Coturnix japonica: one gene and its partner. The protein of the gene in region 1 purifies or fractionates together with the protein of each later gene. This does not show direct contact. Links are inferred from orthologs where the notes say so. Each region holds a gene or a part of one and is shown on either strand. Other genes may lie near its edges.

What was found.
Region 2: the proteins of ASIC1 (region 1) and PICK1 purify together in Homo sapiens (affinity purification with western blotting; 3 studies listed by BioGRID and IntAct, with this or other methods). This does not show direct contact. The link is inferred for Coturnix japonica from reciprocal best matches to the Homo sapiens genes ASIC1 and PICK1.

What each region holds. Positions count from the first base shown.
Region 1 is NC_029544.1:355,345-358,748, reverse strand, and holds the end of ASIC1 (acid-sensing ion channel 1), read left to right. Parts: intron 1-489; coding exon 490-640; intron 641-1,033; coding exon 1,034-1,161; intron 1,162-1,344; coding exon 1,345-1,495; intron 1,496-1,572; coding exon 1,573-1,629; intron 1,630-1,711; coding exon 1,712-1,865; intron 1,866-1,940; coding exon 1,941-2,328; intron 2,329-2,456; coding exon 2,457-2,561; intron 2,562-2,695; coding exon 2,696-2,800; 3' UTR 2,801-2,820; downstream 2,821-3,404. UniProt on the Homo sapiens protein: Forms voltage-independent, pH-gated trimeric sodium channels that act as postsynaptic excitatory receptors in the nervous system, playing a crucial role in regulating synaptic plasticity, learning, and memory.
Region 2 is NC_029516.1:46,560,631-46,564,964, reverse strand, and holds the start of PICK1 (PRKCA-binding protein), read left to right. Parts: upstream 1-1,362; 5' UTR 1,363-1,450; intron 1,451-1,476; exon of another isoform or gene 1,477-1,606; intron 1,607-1,802; 5' UTR 1,803-1,854; coding exon 1,855-1,895; intron 1,896-4,164; coding exon 4,165-4,276; intron 4,277-4,334. UniProt on the Homo sapiens protein: Probable adapter protein that bind to and organize the subcellular localization of a variety of membrane proteins containing some PDZ recognition sequence.

The DNA of each region.
Region 1 (3,404 bases):
TCGGGGTCTGGGCTTGGCACTGTGCAGCCTGCAGCCTGCTGGCCCCAGATGCTCCCTTTGCCAGCAGCAGCTCAGCAGCATGGAGCTGTGCTGGCAGCCAGAGGTGATAGCTGGAATGGGTGAGGAGGGCTGGGGGGTTGAGGATCCTGTCCAGCCCCCATCTGTGGGATTGGAGGTGATGGGGCAGATATTGGTGAGGGCACAGGGCTGAGTGCTGCTGTCCTGGGGCTGCAGGGTCATGGAGATGCAAACCTGCAAAGCATCTCCACTGATCTGCACCCATTGCCTTGGTGGGGATCTCGTCCTTCTACCAGGGCAAAGGCAGCTCTGATGCTAAGAGACCCCATGGGACAGGACCCTGGGTCAGGCTGTCCCCCAGGCTGGGCATTGCCACATTCTGGAGCTGGAGTCAGCTCCATGCTGCAGCGCCAGTGGCATTTTGGGGCTAGCAGAGGGGCCCCAGCCTCAGCCTTATGTCCTCTCCCACAGGTGTTCACACGCTATGGCAAATGCTACACCTTCAATGCAGGGCAGGACGGCAAACCCCGGCTCATCACCATGAAGGGGGGCACTGGAAATGGCCTGGAGATCATGCTGGACATCCAGCAGGACGAGTACCTCCCTGTGTGGGGGGAAACAGGTAACCCAGCAGCTCCTAGGCTGCTTCCCAGCAGCCTCCCAGCTTCATACCCCACAAGACCACGTCCCCAGGGCTCCTTCCTTCTGTTTCTCACCACTTCGGGTCTTCTGCTTTCCTTTTTCCTCCTTGCCTCTTCTATTTGCCATGGCAACTCCCTGCCGCTTTAGACAAGCAGCCATCACTTGTTTATAAATAGAGCCAGGCACTTTCCACACTGCTCTTCCCAAGGTCTGGACCACAGGGCTGGGGGGGACAAGGGCACGGGGTGGATGGATGCATGGATGCATGGACATGTGAAGGAGTGAATTCACCAAAGGGAAGGGTGGGAGACGGGAGGAGTTTTCTTCCTTCTTGCAGCAGGGCTCAGCTCCTCTCTGCTCCTCTCTGCTGCAGATGAGACCTCATTTGAAGCTGGGATCAAGGTGCAGATCCACAGCCAGGATGAGCCACCCTACATCGACCAGCTGGGCTTTGGTGTGGCACCCGGCTTCCAGACCTTCGTGTCCTGCCAGGAGCAGCGGGTAGGGGCTGTGGGCCTTGCTCAATCCCTCCCACCCCCTAGAGTGCTGAGCCCCCTCCCTACATCCCCATCTCCTGCCCCAATGTGGGATGGAAATGGGGAGCAGCACACGAGGCCCCACCCTCACCATGCCGTGGGCTGCAGGGATGTGTGCTTCTCTCCTTATCCCTGGCTTCCCTCTCAGCTCATCTACCTGCCACCTCCCTGGGGAGACTGTAAGGCCACAACGGGTGACTCGGAGTTCTACGACACTTACAGCATCACAGCCTGCCGCATCGACTGCGAGACCCGCTACCTGGTGGAGAACTGCAACTGCCGCATGGTGCACATGCCAGGTGAGCTCTGCATGGCTGCATCCCACCCCAAACCCAGGGGACACAGTCCTATGGGAAACCTGTTCTGTTTCCTGCAGGCGATGCCCCTTATTGCACCCCAGAGCAGTACAAGGAGTGCGCAGATCCGGCCTTAGGTGAGGCTGCCTGGTCCCATAGGTCTGAACTGACAGCATCAGGGTTTCCCACATCCCCATCTAAGTCTCTTTTCCTGCCCAGATTTCCTGGTGGAGAAGGACAATGAGTATTGTGTCTGTGAGATGCCCTGCAACGTCACCCGCTACGGCAAAGAGCTCTCCATGGTGAAGATTCCCAGCAAAGCCTCTGCTAAGTACCTGGCCAAGAAGTACAACAAGTCAGAGCAATACATCGGGTAATGCACCACAGGTATGGGGCAGCATTGTGTCTCTCCAACACCACGACCTGACTCTGCTTTCTGCCCACGCAGGGAGAACATCCTGGTGCTGGATATCTTCTTTGAAGCCTTGAACTATGAGACGATTGAGCAGAAGAAGGCGTATGAGGTGGCTGGATTGCTGGGTGAGCACTGTGGGCTGGTGGCTGTGCTGAGAGCTTTGGTTGGCACCCTTCAGTGTGGCCCCATGTGCTGTCACCCCAATCCTGGGGCACCAGGGTGTGCACACAGCGTAGGTGCAGAACAGAGCAGCCCCCAGAGTCACAGCAGTGATGAGGTTTGCCCTTTCTCTGCTCCATCTGCCAGCAGTGCCCTGCTGATAGCTTTCCTCTCCCCCCCAGGTGACATCGGAGGACAGATGGGGCTGTTTATCGGGGCCAGCATCCTCACTGTGCTGGAGCTGTTTGACTACGCCTATGAGGTGAGCCCCAAAACACTGTGCCCTGTTCCTGTGGGGTCAGCAGAGCCCCCTTGGCACCACATCCCTCCATCTACTGGGGAAACCCCCTTGTTGGGGTCCATCCTGGAGCTCAGAGCCATCTCCTGCAGGTGATCAAGCACCGGCTGTGCCGGCGGGGCAAGTGCCGTAAGAACCACAAGAGGAACAACACGGACAAGGGCGTCGCACTGAGCATGGATGACGTGAAACGCCACGTGAGTGCTGGGCAGGGGGTCTTGTTGGGGGGTCACCGTCACCACCTGGGGGACAAGGGGCAGCAGGCAATGGAAGACAGGGCTTGGTTCTGGCTTAAACCCGTGACCACAACATCCCATCTCTTCCCCTACAGAACCCCTGCGAGAGCCTACGGGGTCACCCGGCCGGCATGACGTACGCAGCAAACATCCTACCTCACCACCCAGCCCGGGGAACCTTTGAGGACTTCACCTGCTAACCGACGTCTGGATGTACAACAACCCGAGCTACCAAAGCCCTCCGGAGCGCTGCCCTTCTCCTAGAGGAGAGACACAGCCAGGGGACCTCGCTCGAAGCCACGGCGGGACGCGGACAAGAGCGGCGGCCTCAGATTTTGGGGCAGGCGGCCGGGCCGGGCCGTGTTGGCTCAGAGACTGGAGGAGGCTGCAGCCCAGCCGCGGAGCCACGCACAGCGGGCCGGGGCGCGGGCCTGCCCCGTCTCCTCCCCCTCGGCTCCCCTCGGCCTTTTTAACTAGAAACCCAGAAGCCAAGAAGAAGCAGCCTTCGGGCCGCAAGAGTCTCCATCCACAGCCCTGTTCGTCTGTCCGTCCGTCCATTGTCTCCATGCTCATTCTGCTCCCCAGAGCTCAGCCTGCGCCTGTTCCCATGCCTGGCATCATCTCAGAGCCCCGCAGCCCCAGCAGAGCCCACTGGGCTCCACGTGCACAAAACAGAGCAGCTCCACATCTCCAAAATGTCTTCCTCGGCCTCCGTCCCGGGGATGGCAGCGTTGGGCCGCTGGGGGAGCAGCATGGAGGGCTGCGCCTTGGGGGACCACTGAGGGCCTGCAGCCTGGTCATGGT
Region 2 (4,334 bases), on another chromosome or scaffold:
GCTGCCCGGAGAGGTTGCGCTGTCTTCTTCACTGGAGATATTCACTCAAGCTGTGAAGTACCAGGCAGGGGTTGGCCTGAGAACGAGAACATAATCACCATACTTATCCCCCAGAACAGAAAACATGCTTGAAGGACAGCGACTGGGGAGGATGTTAGCTCAGCGTTAGTCATGTTGACTCTAAGCTGACAACAGTAGCAGAAAAGCAGCCAGAAACACGAGATTTAACAGAGACCCACTGCAGGGAAATACATCTGAGTGCCAAGAAGCCAACTAGTCATGCAGCGTGTGATCTGCTTGCAGACTCCTTATTACACGTGATGAAAGATGAACAGAAGAGAGTTTGACTGGCGGAGCCTGGCCTGACTTTGCTGTATTGAGTCTCGAAAGGCGGATAAAAGCCTTGTATTTGCTGAGCTCTCTTGATCCAAAGCATACTGGTAGGCAGTGAGTGCTATGTTTTATGATGATGATGATTTTATTTCAGATGATCATTTTCATTCCTTTTCCCCCTCGGGATGAGGTGATCTGCCGGATCTCTAGCACTGAGAAACACAGCCCTAAGGCACACACCATCTCATTCAGAGCCCATCCAACTGACCCCGAACACATCGGATTGAGTGCACACAAAAGGCAGGGTCACCCAGCACGCGTGTACAAAGGCTTCAGGGATGCTTCCGGGATGAAGTGAGGGCCATATTCAATACACACACACACCAGAGGGGAAGCACAAAAGCGGAGCCCATCAGCCACGCTGCCTTCTAGATGGTGCCCACACGGAGGAGCTCCTGCCTTAGGAATGAACCCCAGCTGGGCGGCTGGTGTAACTTTGGAGGCCCTGGAGTTTAAGGAGCTTTCAGCCAGTGCTCTCAGTCGTAGGGTCTGATTTTCAGGTGGTCCTTTATGGAGCCCGATGGTCCCTACGGCTCCCTTCGCACTTAGAGTATTCAGTGTTGCTATGAATTCTCAGCCTAGAGAAGGTTGCGGGGTGACCTCATTGCAGCCTTACAATACCTGAAGGGAACTTTACTCCCAGGAGGGAGTAAACTCTTCGAAGGGCTGATAATAGCAGGACTAGGGAAATGGTTTTAAGTTGAAAGAGGGAAGATTTAGGTTGGATGTTAGGGGAAGTTCTTCACTAGGAGAGGGGTAGGTACTGAACAGGCTGCCCAGGGAGGTTGTGGATGCCCCGTCCTTGGAGGTGTTCAAGGCAGGGTGGACGGGGCCCTGCGGCAACGTGATCTAGTAAAGGGTGTATGTTTGGTGGCCCTGTGCCAGGCAGGGGGTTGGAACTACATGATCCTTGAGCCCGCCACTCTCAAGATGGCGGATGGAGCGTCCCCGTAGCAACGCGGGCGCTAGAGGAAGGGGGGCGGGCTTTGGCTGCGCGCTTCCGGTCGGCTCCGGCGGCGACGCGTCAGCGGCGGGGTCGGCCCGGCCACCTCTAAAGGTCTCGGCTTTGATGTGGGGCGAGCGGCGGCAGCGTGTGACCGAGCCGCGGGGCAGCGAGCGGGGCCGGGGCCTGGGAGCACAGAGCGGGGCCTGCTGCGGGACATAAGGGATCGGGGGCACGGCAGTTGCTTAGGAAACAGAACAAGGCTGCTGTGTGAGCGGGGAGCGGGCCGCGGGGTGTGGTGCTGTGCCTGGAGCAGAGCGTGCGGCCACCTGGTCCCTACTTGCAGCCCTCTATCAGGGCACCATTCGTCATTCAGAAATAGATGGGGTGGGAGTTGACGTTGGTGCCCTGGTGACCCGCAGAGAGCGCGGCCTTACGGGGGTTTTGCTCTGTGCTTTCTTCCTAGGGAGTTTACAAGAAGGTGCTTTCAGACGGTCAGGTTCCAGTTAGCGAAAAGGATGTTTGCTGATTTGGATTATGATGTTGAGGAGGATAAGCTGTAAGTACGGCACTCATCTTTTGTTTTTCTGACAATAGAAATAGTCTTCACAGAACAAAACAAATGGCAGCAGATAGATTTCCATGTTGCTGACAAGGCCCAGGGAGACCTGGACAGGCTTGAGCAGTGGGCCAAGGACCCCCTCACTTGGCCAAGTGCAAGGTCTGGTATTGCATATCGGTATTGTAAGGTTTTGCACTTGGGCTGGAAGAACCCCAGGCACCTGTACAGGCTGGGAGGAGTGGTCCTTGAGAGCAGCTCGGCAGAGAAGACCTGGGGGTCCTGATGGACAAAGACTCAAACTGAGCCAGCAGTGCGCTCTGGCAGCCGGAAAGCAAATGGGATCCTGGGCTCCATCAGGAGAGGGGTGGCCAGCAGGGATAGGGAGGTGATTGTCCCTCTCTGCTCTTGTGAGGCCCCATCTGGAGTACTGTGTCCAGGTGTGGAGCCCTCAGTACAAAAAGACATGGAGATTTTGGAAAGGGTCCAGAGGAGGCCACAAAGATGATCAGGGGGCCGAGCACCTCCCCTATGAGGACAGGCTGAGGGAGTTGGGTTTGTCAGCCTGGAGAAGAGAAGGTTGCGGTGACCTCATTGCAGCCTTTCATTACCGAAGGGAATTACCCCAGGAGGGAGAAACTCTTCGAAAGGCTGAAATAGCAGGACAGGGGAAATGGTTTTAAGTTGAAAGAGGGAAGATTTAGGTTGGATGTTAGGGGAAGTTCTTCACTAGAGAGTGGTTAGGTCCTGGAACAGGCTGCCCAGGGAGGTTGTGGATGCCCCGTCCTTGGAGGTGTTCAAGCCAGTTGGACGGGCCTGGGCAACCTGACGTAGTAAATGTGTATGTTTGGTGGCCCTGACAGGCAGGGGGGTTGGAACTACATGATCTTTGAGGTCCCTTCCAACTCGGGTCATTCTGTGATTCTGTGGTACCTGGGCTGTGGCAATTTCCACTACCAGTACAGGCTGGGGGATGGAGCACGGCCCTACCAAAAAGGACTTGGGGACACTGATGGATGGCAGCTGGACATGAGCCAGCAGTGTGCCCTCACAGCCCACAGTGCCAACTGTGTCCTGGGCTGCACCCAAAGGAATGTGGCCATTAGGGAGAGGGAGGTGATCCTGCCCCTCTGCACTGTGTTGTGAGACCTTTCCCAGAGTACTGAGTTGAATGTGGAACCCTCAGTACAGGAGAGATGTGGGCATGTTAGACCTGTTAGAGCACATGCAGAGGAGGGCCACAAAAATGAGATGTTCCAAAGGGATGGAACACCTGCCCTATGAGAGAGGAAGTTGAGAGAGCTAGGGTTGTTCAGCCAGGAGAAGAGAAGGCTCCAGGGAGACCAGAGAGCAGCCTCTCAGTATCTAGAGGGAGACTATAAGAAGAAAAGGGACAGATTCTTTTCTTTGTGATAGGACAAGGAGAAATGGTTTCAGACTAGAAGAGAGATTTAGACTGTATGTAGACTTACTTTCCAATAAGTCTAGTGGAGTTCCAGTAAGGAACAGGTTGTCTGGGGGTGTGGATGCTTCATCCCTGGAGATATTCAAGGTCAGGCTGGAGGGGCTCTGAGCATCCTGATCTAGATGTAGGAGTCTCTTTCCATTGTAGGGGGTTTGTCCAGATGGCCTTTAAGGCTCGTTTCCAACCAACAGTTCTGATTCTAAGACCCGCTGAAGGGTCAGGCTCGCTGCTCAATCCTGACTTCTTGCTACCTTGGGGAATGGGGATGAAGTATTGCTGTCTCTCTCCAAGGACTGCTCTGAGCTTCTTGTTGCAAGGTAGTCCTAGCAGTGAATTAGTGACCTTAGCTAGAGGGAAGAAAAAAAAAAAGGTTTATAATGGAAGACAGTACGAGGCAGCCATAAGTGGAGAAAACCTCTGGAGACCATGGGTTTGTAAGGAGCACTGGAGTTTTTTGAACAAGTTTTATGAAATCAGCAGTTTCTTTGGCATGGAGTTTCGTTTTTGTTGCACATACTGATCTCTTACTCTGACACAAAGGCAGCTCAAACACTGTTTAAAGCAACAGTGTTTCCTCTGCATCTCTCCCTCCTTCACTCTGTGCATGCAGTCTCAAAAACAACAGCTCAGAGTGTCTTCCTGTGTTGTCCTGTGCTTATAGACTCTGTGGCACAGTGTGCTTAATTAAAGTGTACAATGTCTATCATGTGTTCAGTTTTTATCGTCACTGATACCACAGTTGTACAGATACAGCTCTGTCTGCCATGTTCAGTTTTCCACTATCCATCTCCTTTCTCATTCTAGAGGGATCCCCACTGTACCTGGGACAGTGACCCTGAAGAAGGACTCCCAGAACCTGATTGGGATCAGCATTGGGGGAGGAGCACAGTACTGCCCCTGTCTCTATATTGTTCAGGTGAGCACCCGAGGAGGAAGAATACAACCAAGTTAAATAGGAGAAATATAGCTGTCAG